Linked DNA regions of Saccharomyces cerevisiae S288C. Changing the gene in region 3 together with the main gene of any one other region gives a genetic interaction. Each region holds a gene or a part of one and is shown on either strand. Other genes may lie near its edges. The genes, in order: PTC3, YAP7 and PLP2.

Region 1 (3,779 bases), on a different chromosome or scaffold from region 3:
TTAGCCAAATACCAGGAGGTTAGGGATTTCGAATACCCTGCATTCAAGTCCGTTAAGAAAAATAAGCTCGCTGACAAGTTGAATGCAGAAGAACTTTACATGGTCAAGGGCCGTAATGAGCCTTGTAATATGGAACAAGTAGCAATTGTCGTATCGGAAGTCAAGGACGTGGATCTGGCTACTTTGATAGATACCACGTGGAAGACGACCTGTAAGATATTTGGAGAGTAACATCTATTGGTGCAAAGAGCAAAGTTACATTATTTTTAGTAAGTACACTAATTATGCTTAAACTATTAATAGGAAAATTATGGTGCGCATATACATACAGTCGATATTGCTTTCATTTTTTTTTTTTTTTTTTTTCTATTTTTTTCATCAAAAAGGATTCAAAGGTTACCAACAAAATAAAAACAGAGTAAGGAAAAACAGATGTATCTATATGAATAGGATTTATAAATTCTGTTACAATTTATCATTCTCTCGTAATGATTTTTATGAATTTCACCATCTCCTCAATATGGGCCGCAAAGATGATCCAGTAAAAAACAATCCATCGGCAGAAGAGGAATAACAAATAAAGATAACAAAGTTTGACTACTCTTTCGTTGCAAAGTACGGTTCGACAATATTTATTATTCAATTTCTTCAATCTTGGAACCCTTCTTCGCATTTTCATTCTTGCCGTTTTCTTCGCCGTCGTTATCATCGTTATCATCAGCATCATTAGGTTCTGTTTCTCCTGCAGCCGCATTGCTTAAAGATGCCAACATATCTGATAAAGAAGCACCATGGAAATAAGAAGTGTTGCCGTCACTGTCGGAGCTGGGCCTCTGCCTTATTTGAATCCCGGCTTCTAATAGAGCCTCCAACGAAAACAAGTCAATAGGGCCAGTTCTATCCTCACCTGATAACTTTGAGGGAGTAGCACTGCTGCCTAATTCGGTATCAAGATCATCAATTTCCATGTCGTCATTATCTTTACTACGATTCAAGCGGTCTTGTAATTTTTTGGTGGTTATTGCGAACACTTCGTTATCATCATCCGAAAAATCATGGAAATCAAAAATACTTTTCCTTCTTTGGACAAAAGACGTTTGGATATTGTAATTTTTTGATCTCATACGCTCAAACCATTGTGACTCAGATTCATTTTCCTTTAGTAAAGCAACAATGGAAATACTCATATTATCACAGCCAATTCCTGAGCCTTCAGTTGTGGGTGAACAACAAACATCTACGATTCTAGATGAAATGTCGCTCAACGTCATATTACCTTGACTTATACCGTAGTGAACCAAGTCAACACACTCTTGAGAAGTTAAACAATCCCAAATACCATCACATGCTAAAATAACAAATTCATCCTCATCATAATTCAAATTGTGACAAATGATATCAGGAACACATGTAACGACTTGCTCATGAGGTCCCAATTTTGTGTTAGATTTGAATTCAAAATCACCTATGGCTCTTGATAACGCTAAATTTCCATTAACACGGTCCATCTCAACAAAACCATCAGCAGCTACAATACGAGATTTTTCACTTAACAATGTGGGCTTATGATCAAATGACATTGCTTTACTATTACCACCAGTAGATAGAACTGTTCTACTATCACCGGAATTGGCGCAAATTAGTAGCTTTTTCAATTGAGATACCAATATCACAGTTGCTGTACAACCACTATGGTCATCTTTTAATTTTTCATCTTTCAACAACTCAACATCTGTAGCTAAAAAGGTATCTATTAAGCACTGCTCTAACATACCGCTCTTGAAGCTCTCCTGTTTTTTCAGTATAGATATCATTTTAGAGCCACAAAACTCCGCTACAGAAGAACCACCATGACCGTCAAATATACCATAAAATGCGAGATGTTCCTCGTCAGACTCAGCCAAAAGGTTCGGCTCAACAATATGGGCATCTTCCATGGACATACGCCAGCCTTGCATGGCACATAGTCCAAACGCTGTCAAACAGTCCGTACCAGAATGATGCTCTTTGTCGATAATTGGATTGGACAATATTTGACCCATGTTATCTCTCTCTTTCTTCGATTTGTCTTCTTGGCCTTCTTCGTCTGCCTATAATAGAAACTTCAAAAAGTAAAATGAATATAGTCTAAAAACAGAAAGGGGCCTTCCGGTGGCAACAATCGAGCCAACAAGCTCTAAACACCTTTTACTCCTTTGAGTTTATTCTCTTGAGGGACAACCCATGTTGTTTTTTCTTCAACTCGCTGATATCACGCCTGACGAAAATAATGTTTAAAGGTTATTACTACTCTTCTAGAAGCTCTTAAGCATAAGAGCTAATTGTTTCTTGCTATATTACTTGTTGACAGCGGAGTAACATGATAACGTCTTTTTAATGGAAAAGATGACAGTTTCTTCGAATTACACCATAGCTTTATGGGCTACTTTCACCGCAATCTCCTTTGCCGTGGGTTACCAGTTGGGTACGTCGAACGCATCATCAACTAAGAAATCCTCAGCTACTTTACTGCGTTCTAAAGAAATGAAGGAAGGAAAGCTACACAATGACACTGATGAGGAGGAAAGTGAAAGCGAAGATGAGAGCGATGAGGACGAAGATATTGAGTCCACTTCATTGAATGATATACCTGGAGAAGTTAGGATGGCATTGGTGATTCGTCAAGATCTTGGCATGACAAAGGGCAAAATAGCGGCACAATGCTGTCACGCAGCATTGTCATGTTTTAGACATATTGCTACAAACCCCGCGCGTGCTTCATACAACCCAATTATGACACAAAGATGGCTAAATGCTGGACAGGCTAAAATAACGTTGAAATGTCCAGATAAGTTTACAATGGACGAGTTGTATGCGAAGGCTATATCACTTGGGGTGAATGCAGCAGTTATTCATGATGCTGGTAGAACACAGATTGCTGCGGGAAGTGCCACCGTATTGGGTTTAGGACCTGCTCCAAAAGCAGTATTGGATCAAATAACAGGTGATTTGAAATTGTATTGAGGTACAAATGATATATACTACGGGTATAGATATACGTGCATTTATATATTAAGTTGAAGTCTTTTCCCGTTTCTGTTTTTGTATATTTATGCTCATGCCCATCTTTGCACGACAACGGAGTTCAGCAGATCAGCGTCCTTCAATGTTGTCTCATCGTTGCTTATTGGTTTGATAGGAAAGGCATAATTCAAGGTGAAATTCCTCGATGGGTCAGTGTTCGCATTTGATGTCACATGCTCATACAAAAACTTTACTGTATCTGTGGAATTGCAGTGCAAAACTTCTCTTTTGCCATTTGCGTATCTAATTTGGATGGAGGTGTCGCCTTGTTTTGGCTCATTGTCCGGCATGGGTTGTTCCTGAGCAGCGGGTGTCTCATTCTTTGGAACCTCCGCAGGTGACGATTCACCCGGGATAGGAGATCCTAGTCTTTGGCCCTGGCCTGAAAAACCGCCCAGTTTTCTCGTCGGAGCTTTATAAGACTCATCTAATTTTTTATATACATTAACTTCAACTTCTTGTCCAAATTGCACATCTAAGAGCTTTAATGGAGCCCTCCCTTGATTTAACTCGCTCAAATAGAAACTGTTCGCAGGATCATCATAGCGATAAAGCGGACCATCGGCCACTTGAAAACCTTCCTTCCAAAATGTAATTTCTCTTGTGACTTTTTCTGGTCTACGTTGTGATTGTGAAGTGTTGTCTTCTACGACTTCATCTGCTGCGTCGATGGTTGACCCTAATCTAAAACCTCTTCCAGTAAACCTATTGGCACC
Region 2 (3,305 bases), 580 kb from region 3:
GTGCATTCTTGCAGGAACATATTTCGGGTAGCTTGATTGAATTGTAATTTACGTCAGTTTGTTGTTCATTTAGATCCGGTGACAACGCACTGTTGGAAGAGAAAGAGCTTGAACTACATTTATTCGAAAGTGATTGACAAAAATTCCTACTATGGGGGTCTGATCTACATTGCTTGCAGCTTCCAGGTATCCATGACCCATCCTCTTTAGTGATCGGTCTATTCTCGCTATCGTAGATTTCTTTGTCTCCACAGCATTTCGATATTGATTTCTTAGCATCGGATTCTATTTTCTTTTCTGAACAGCAAACGGGGACTAAGGATGGCATTATGTTATTCTTTTGGTTGCAACATGTTACTGGTTTCATGGCATCTTTATTCCTACAACATTTTATTTTTTTGTTGCCACTGCCTGCACATGCATTGATACTGCTGCTGCATGAAGACAGAGGTGAATTAATATGGCCATCAAGCGATGAATTCGTTGAACTAAACTGTCTGCCGCTCAGATATTGATAATCGTTGGCTATATCAATCTCAGACAAAGACTGGTCTGTTAATACCGCGGGCACATGAGATGTTAACAATGGGCCTTCAGCTTTCCTTTTTTTAAACTGACAGCGCCGATTGGTTTAAAGTTTTCTACCATTTCTAATATCGAAATAGGATTGTCTGGCGGGTTTTCTGGCTGCTGTTGAAATGGAGTATTAACAATCAAAGGCAAGGCTTTTTGCAATTCGTTGTTTAATGCTATTGATTTTTGCAAGTTTTCCTTTGTATCGGAAAACTCAGATTCCAGCAGTTTATATTTCCTTTGCCAATCATCGACCAAATTGTGTAGCATCTCAACCTTCTCTTCCAGAACCTGGATTCTTGTTGTTCTGCGTTCCCTATATGCTCTTTGCGCATCTCTATTTTGCCTCCTTCGCTTTTCCACGCTATCGACACCGTTTTCATCACCACTTCCGTTGCCTTCATCATCAGATTTCCCCTCATGACCTTTTGCGCCTTCGTTCTCATGATCTTTTGTGGTCATTTGGTCTTTCTGGTTGGAAGTTTGAACCTTCTTTATCTTGGACGATCCATCATTATTAGCTGATGCATCCCCGCGCTTGGATTTCGGTTTGCGGCCCGGTTTTAGGCGCTGTGGTAACTCCCAATTCTTGGATAACTTAATAGCTGACGGTCCTGATGTACTCACATTTCCATCTGGTGAGGATGGAGGTGGAGACGTCGTAGACATGGAACCCTGTTTATGCCCCAATTTGAAGCCTTTGGGCTTTACGCTAACTGCTACTACAGACCTTCGTTGTCTCATGATCCATTGAAAGTGTGCGTAAATGACAAAATTTTGTGCCTTTCTATATTCTTTAATTGATGATTTACTTCCTTGATAACGGCTCAACAAACGAAGAGCAATTTTCAAATTTCAAAAGAAAAAACCGTTGAAACTGTTCTTGAGCAACTTTCAAGCCTCTTATGATGATGTGCTACAGATTGAAGTACAGGTGAAAAGAGGAATAACCAATAGCCTTGTTTGCTTTCTACGGTGGGGCAGCGGATTTTCTCTTTTATGCTTATGCTTCTTCTTCCATATATTACTAATTTTTCTCGAGCGAGCAGCTTTACTGCGTGCATTACCGATGAAAAAAATCGCCGATATATGAAAATCCAGCTCATAAGATGCTGATTAAGGAGTCATGAGTGAAAGGACCCTCGTGGCCATCACAAAAAAGACACTTTGCTCCTGTATAAAAAAAAAAATAAGGCGGTAGTTTAGATAGGGTGTCTATTATATACATGCATAATAATTTAGTTTTGAAGGGTCGCTGGTTTTGCCGTGACGTACGCTTCTCTTTGATCTTTTGCCATTGTTGTCAGAGAAAAGAGAACCGATTGACTTTTTTTTTTTAGTTTTTTTTAGTTTTTTTCTTAGGCTTTGATCTAATATCAATCTTTCTTAATGACAAAAGTCTTCGCAGCTTGATCGGCCGGAATGGGAGGTACAGATTTTGCTTCTTCCTCTTCATCTAGGTTGATATCATCTGGCACATGCTCTCTCGAAGCTCTTTGCTTAGCTTCCTCTTCCTCCTTCTTTATTAGTTCTTCTTGCTCCTTCAAAACGTTCAATTTGAACTCGTTATCGTCGGATGTCTTCTTTTCTTCAGCTTCCGTGGCTTCCGCAGAGTCGGTAGGCTCTGCGTTCTCTTTTTCCTGAGATATTTCCTCTGTCTTCGCTGTTTCTGCCTTTTCATTAACTACGACTAGTTTAGGAGTAACCGCAGAAGCGGTGGTAGCTATAACAGACTCTTTTGCGGTGGCTTCTTCCTTCGGTATAGCAGTTTCCTCGGGTTTTTCTTCCGTCTTTATCTTCTTTTCAGCAACTTGCTTTTCAGCTTCAGTTTCAGCAGCGGATGATTTCGATTCAGATACATCTAGTTTTGCGACGTTGTAAACGGGATCTGGAATGGAACTTAGCACTTGTAATATACCGTCGTAGTACAGATCCAAAAGGTCGTCATATTTGCTTTTTGTTTCTTTTTTTTCAGCTAGTGGCGAGAATGCCTTTGAATAGTTCTCCTTTGGAAGTCCTCCAAACGTGAACGTGGAACTCAAAACCATCAAGACGGATGGGATTTTTTGTCTCAGTCTCAATTCTAGCCAAACTTTTAGATTATCGACCAAGTCCTCCTTGGATACACCGTACGCTTTCATACCACGAGACACACAAGCTTGATACAGCTCTTCTTGCGATAAACTTTCAACGCCTTCGTAGTCAATAGTTTTATCGTCGTTCATTATATCCTTTAGTTTGGAACGAATTTGGTAACGAAGCATGTTATCGTTACCAAATGGCCTTAGTGACATAAACTTCGACATTGCTGCCAATTGTGGTCTTGACAAGTTATCCAAAACGCTATCGTTTTTGAACATTTGCGCAATGGCGCTTATTTCATCGTGTTGGAAAGTCATAATCTTACCTTCCTTGGCAGAATAAAGCTTCCGGAAAAAATTCAAAAATTTTTGCTTCTTCTCTGCATTTTCAATGGTGTTGTAAGTGATCAAATTGGATTCTTCCAAAGTCTCATGCAAGAATTCGGATGTCTTTTTTCTGATCTCGATGAGCTTATTTCTCTTGGCTTGCTTATCCTTGCCGGATTCGTAAGTGGAGGGTAGTAAGTTGGGGAAGAGTTTCAAAGCGAAAGGCAAAAATAGTTCGGCGAATGGAATAATAAGGAACGCTGAAAAAGGGATCAACCTAAACACATCGCCCATTGTCCTCCTCAATTGGTTCCTCTCTCTTCT
Region 3 (3,432 bases):
TTCTTTCGTAATCCTCCAGTCTTCGCAGAAAATATCTTATCGGATTGGACAAAACCATGTAGCATTAGAACTTTCTTCTTTTCACTCATAATAATAATTCTGGGGTTTGTGGTAGAATTCAGTTTGAAAATGCACCGAAGTAGAACAGATTACTTTCTGTATTACTGCATCCATAGTGTTCTTTATACGCACAACTAGAAAAAGTAAATTTCTATCCTCTGACAACAAAGCGAAAAAGTAGTAAAACTTGATACCAGACCATGCTCCATATGACGATTTAAAAGGTTTATTCTGTCAAGATGTGCCTGCTCGAACTTAATAAGGGGTTTTATTGTATCTGTATCCTAAGTATGCTTGACGGTAATTAAAGAGCTTTAATTGGTTGCCATGACAACGGCTCTTACTAAAATCCATGCTGCAGCGATGTTCAATCATACATACCGTAATCCTCGCGTAAACATTCAGAGAAGTACATGACAAAGTTTGCTGTTCTTTATATCTGTATATATTAAATAATGGGGATAGTGACACCACTTAGCCTGTAAATAAGGAATATTCGCACTATTTAGTCAAAAAATCCATCATCATCATCATTAATGTTGCCATCATCATTTCCACCTATGCCGACATTAAATTTTCCTCTAATACCTGACCTGATCGATTTTTTTTCACCGTAATGCAATTTTCTCTCTTCCCTGGATTCTTCATCGTCTCGGTTCATTATCAGTCTGTTGTCTCCTTCTGCAACAGCGCCAACTTTTACCATAAAATCTTCAAAGTCTTCCATCTTGGAATTATTACCACCCAGTTCTAGTAGCGTTATCATGTTTTTGATTACCTCACCCCGGTAATATACAATTAATGTCGGGCAATTGGATTCGGGATAGTTTTCAATTGCTCTATTGGCAGGTATTTCTACAAATTTTATTTCTCTGAATTTGCATGCAGCAGATTGGAAAAGATGAGACAGAATTCTGCTTTGTAGTTTACTTTGAAGCGAGAGATGAACGAATACGTAGACACCACCGTCATCCTCTTCACCATTGTCATTGGTTTGTGCACCTTCATATTTCTTTCCCTGACTGGCCAAAGTAACCTCTTTGTTGTATTCAGGTTTGTTAATGTGGAAAACTTCTCCAAATTTGGAACGTTCCTGTAATTTGCGGATTTCATTTAATCTTTTGATCTTGTAAGCTTCCAAGAAATCTTCATCTTCATCGTCTTCTAGTTCTTCCAAATCCGACAAGTCTTTATCTTCTAGTCTATTTTCATGCTGCTTGGCAATTGCTTCTTCTAATGCTTCTTCTAACTTTGCAGTGGGCGAAGGTGCACGTTCTGGTATTACACCCTTCGCTCTTAAAATATCGTTCCATTCACTGTCTTCAGATTCGTCCACCTGGACCTGAAACATTGGTTCATTCTGCATTATGTCTGCTGAATATGCCTTTCTTCTCAGTGATGTTTACTCGAAGGCGTTATCTTGTACTGCAGATTTCTTCAGGTCGATCATATAACCTTTTCTTTTTTTCCTCTAGCGGGATTTCCTCTTTTTTCAGTAATTTTTTTTCCAGCGATATTAATACAATGGGAAAATCAGGTCGTCACAATATTACTTAATTCTTTTTTGAATTGTAGAACATAAAGTATTGCTTTATTCATTCTGGTTCGAATTAGTCTCATACTGTAAGATCAAAGCGGCAACGAAGCTCGAAGCTATACAAGCACCCAAAAATATATTTATACCCAAGAATGACTAAGGAAGTACCATATTATTGCGATAATGACGATAACAACATCATCAGATTATTCATTATTAGGCATGGACAAACAGAACACAATGTAAAAAAAATTTTGCAAGGTCACAAAGATACCTCGATCAATCCTACGGGAGAAGAACAAGCCACTAAATTGGGGCATTACTTGCGTTCAAGAGGTATTCATTTTGATAAGGTTGTCAGTAGTGATTTAAAAAGGTGTAGGCAAACTACGGCTTTAGTTTTGAAACATTCAAAACAAGAAAATGTGCCTACTTCCTATACTTCGGGGTTAAGGGAGCGTTATATGGGTGTTATTGAAGGTATGCAGATTACTGAGGCTGAAAAGTATGCTGATAAACATGGTGAAGGCTCCTTTAGAAATTTTGGGGAAAAAAGTGACGATTTTGTTGCTAGGTTAACTGGATGTGTCGAAGAAGAAGTTGCTGAAGCATCTAATGAAGGTGTCAAGAATCTAGCCCTAGTTAGTCATGGAGGTGCTATCAGAATGATTTTACAATGGTTAAAGTATGAAAATCATCAAGCTCATAAGATCATTGTTTTCAACACCTCTGTCACTATAGTTGATTACGTCAAGGACTCCAAGCAGTTTATTGTGAGACGTGTCGGAAACACCCAACATCTTGGTGATGGCGAATTTGTCGTCAGTGACTTAAGATTACGTTAGACACTATATGGTTATTCACTGTTGGGTTTTTCTCATTTTGTATTAGAAATGCGGTTTAGGTAGTAATAGAAATTTCGCATGCGTGTATTTTATTTTAAAACATATAGTTCGTAAGGGTTTATCTAAATGCAGTAGATGTTCATAAATTATAGGGGTTTTATGTTTTTATATTATTGATATAGTTTTTCACATGAGATGAGAACGACGCGTTTATTTTAAAGGAAAGAAAACTGTGTCGTAATATGTAACAAGACTACATTGATACTCCATAGCAGAGAAATGGATATGTTCTGTCGGTGGTAAATTCAGGTGAATTGTATATCAGTGAAACTATGCAACAAACAAAATTTGGCAAGATGTATTTGGACCACGATTCGGTAGTTGAGTACTCAGAAGATGAAATTGTCGAAGCCGATCGTATTACATTGGGCTATAAAAAGAGATTGTCAATGATTGAAAATCAAATGCGACATCTTTTGGAGGATTTTAGTTTGGACGTTCAGCAGATTGAACCCATTCTTGCCGACTTGCAGAAGTACTACGACGCGTTTCTACAACTTTTACAGAAAAGGAACAAATCATTACAATGTAAGAGGTCCACTCACCAGCCGGTCCCATCCCCAATGAATAGCCAGACATCAACAAATGCAAAGGTTAATTTGAGCGGAAAGCTTATGAAGTTTCAGCTAAATAGTGTACAAAAGTTCGACGAAGAAAATATACTAAGGATTCTGCAAAATAAAATAGAATTCGAACATTATTTCCAAATTGATAAAGGTAAGAAGCAAAAGGTGCTATTACTTGCCGTATATCAATGCCTCAATGGGCCAACACGTTTGCATAAAGTGCTTAATATTGAGGGAATTATACATAATAATAGTATCAGAACTATACTGGGCAAACAAGTGTCCAGTTCTAAGTGGACAGTGTTTCTGTACGATGTAAAACTAGTTTTATTGGCGCATAGACAAGATGTTCCGAACTTAGAAA

What was found.
Region 1: of PLP2 (region 3) and PTC3, extra expression of one rescues a mutant of the other (dosage rescue), as found in Saccharomyces cerevisiae (one study listed by BioGRID).
Region 2: of PLP2 (region 3) and YAP7, extra expression of one rescues a mutant of the other (dosage rescue), as found in Saccharomyces cerevisiae (one study listed by BioGRID).

Annotation. Positions count from the first base shown.
Region 1 is NC_001134.8:112,025-115,803, reverse strand, and holds PTC3 (type 2C protein phosphatase PTC3), read right to left. Parts: upstream 2,043-3,779; coding exon 636-2,042; downstream 1-635. Other genes in the region: YBL055C (3'-5'-exodeoxyribonuclease), read left to right, coding at 1-231; PTH2 (aminoacyl-tRNA hydrolase), read left to right, coding at 2,377-3,003; protein phosphatase regulator SHP1, read right to left, coding at 3,096-3,779.
Region 2 is NC_001147.6:270,054-273,358, forward strand, and holds YAP7 (Yap7p), read right to left. Parts: upstream 1,318-3,305; coding exon 580-1,317; downstream 1-579. Other genes in the region: YOL029C (uncharacterized protein), read right to left, coding at 1-367; ribosome-binding protein MDM38, read right to left, coding at 1,950-3,305. UniProt on the Saccharomyces cerevisiae protein: Probable transcription activator linked to cell cycle that induces transcription activation of genes in the environmental stress response and metabolism control pathways, like the closely related YAP5.
Region 3 is NC_001147.6:845,704-849,135, forward strand, and holds PLP2 (Plp2p), read right to left. Parts: upstream 1,427-3,432; coding exon 566-1,426; downstream 1-565. Other genes in the region: FSH3 (putative serine hydrolase), read right to left, coding at 1-89; YOR283W (phosphoglycerate mutase), read left to right, coding at 1,750-2,442; HUA2 (Hua2p), read left to right, coding at 2,775-3,432. UniProt on the Saccharomyces cerevisiae protein: Essential for cell growth. Inhibits early G-protein signaling events following pheromone stimulation. Inhibits the folding activity of the chaperonin-containing T-complex (CCT) CCT2 which leads to inhibition of cytoskeletal actin folding.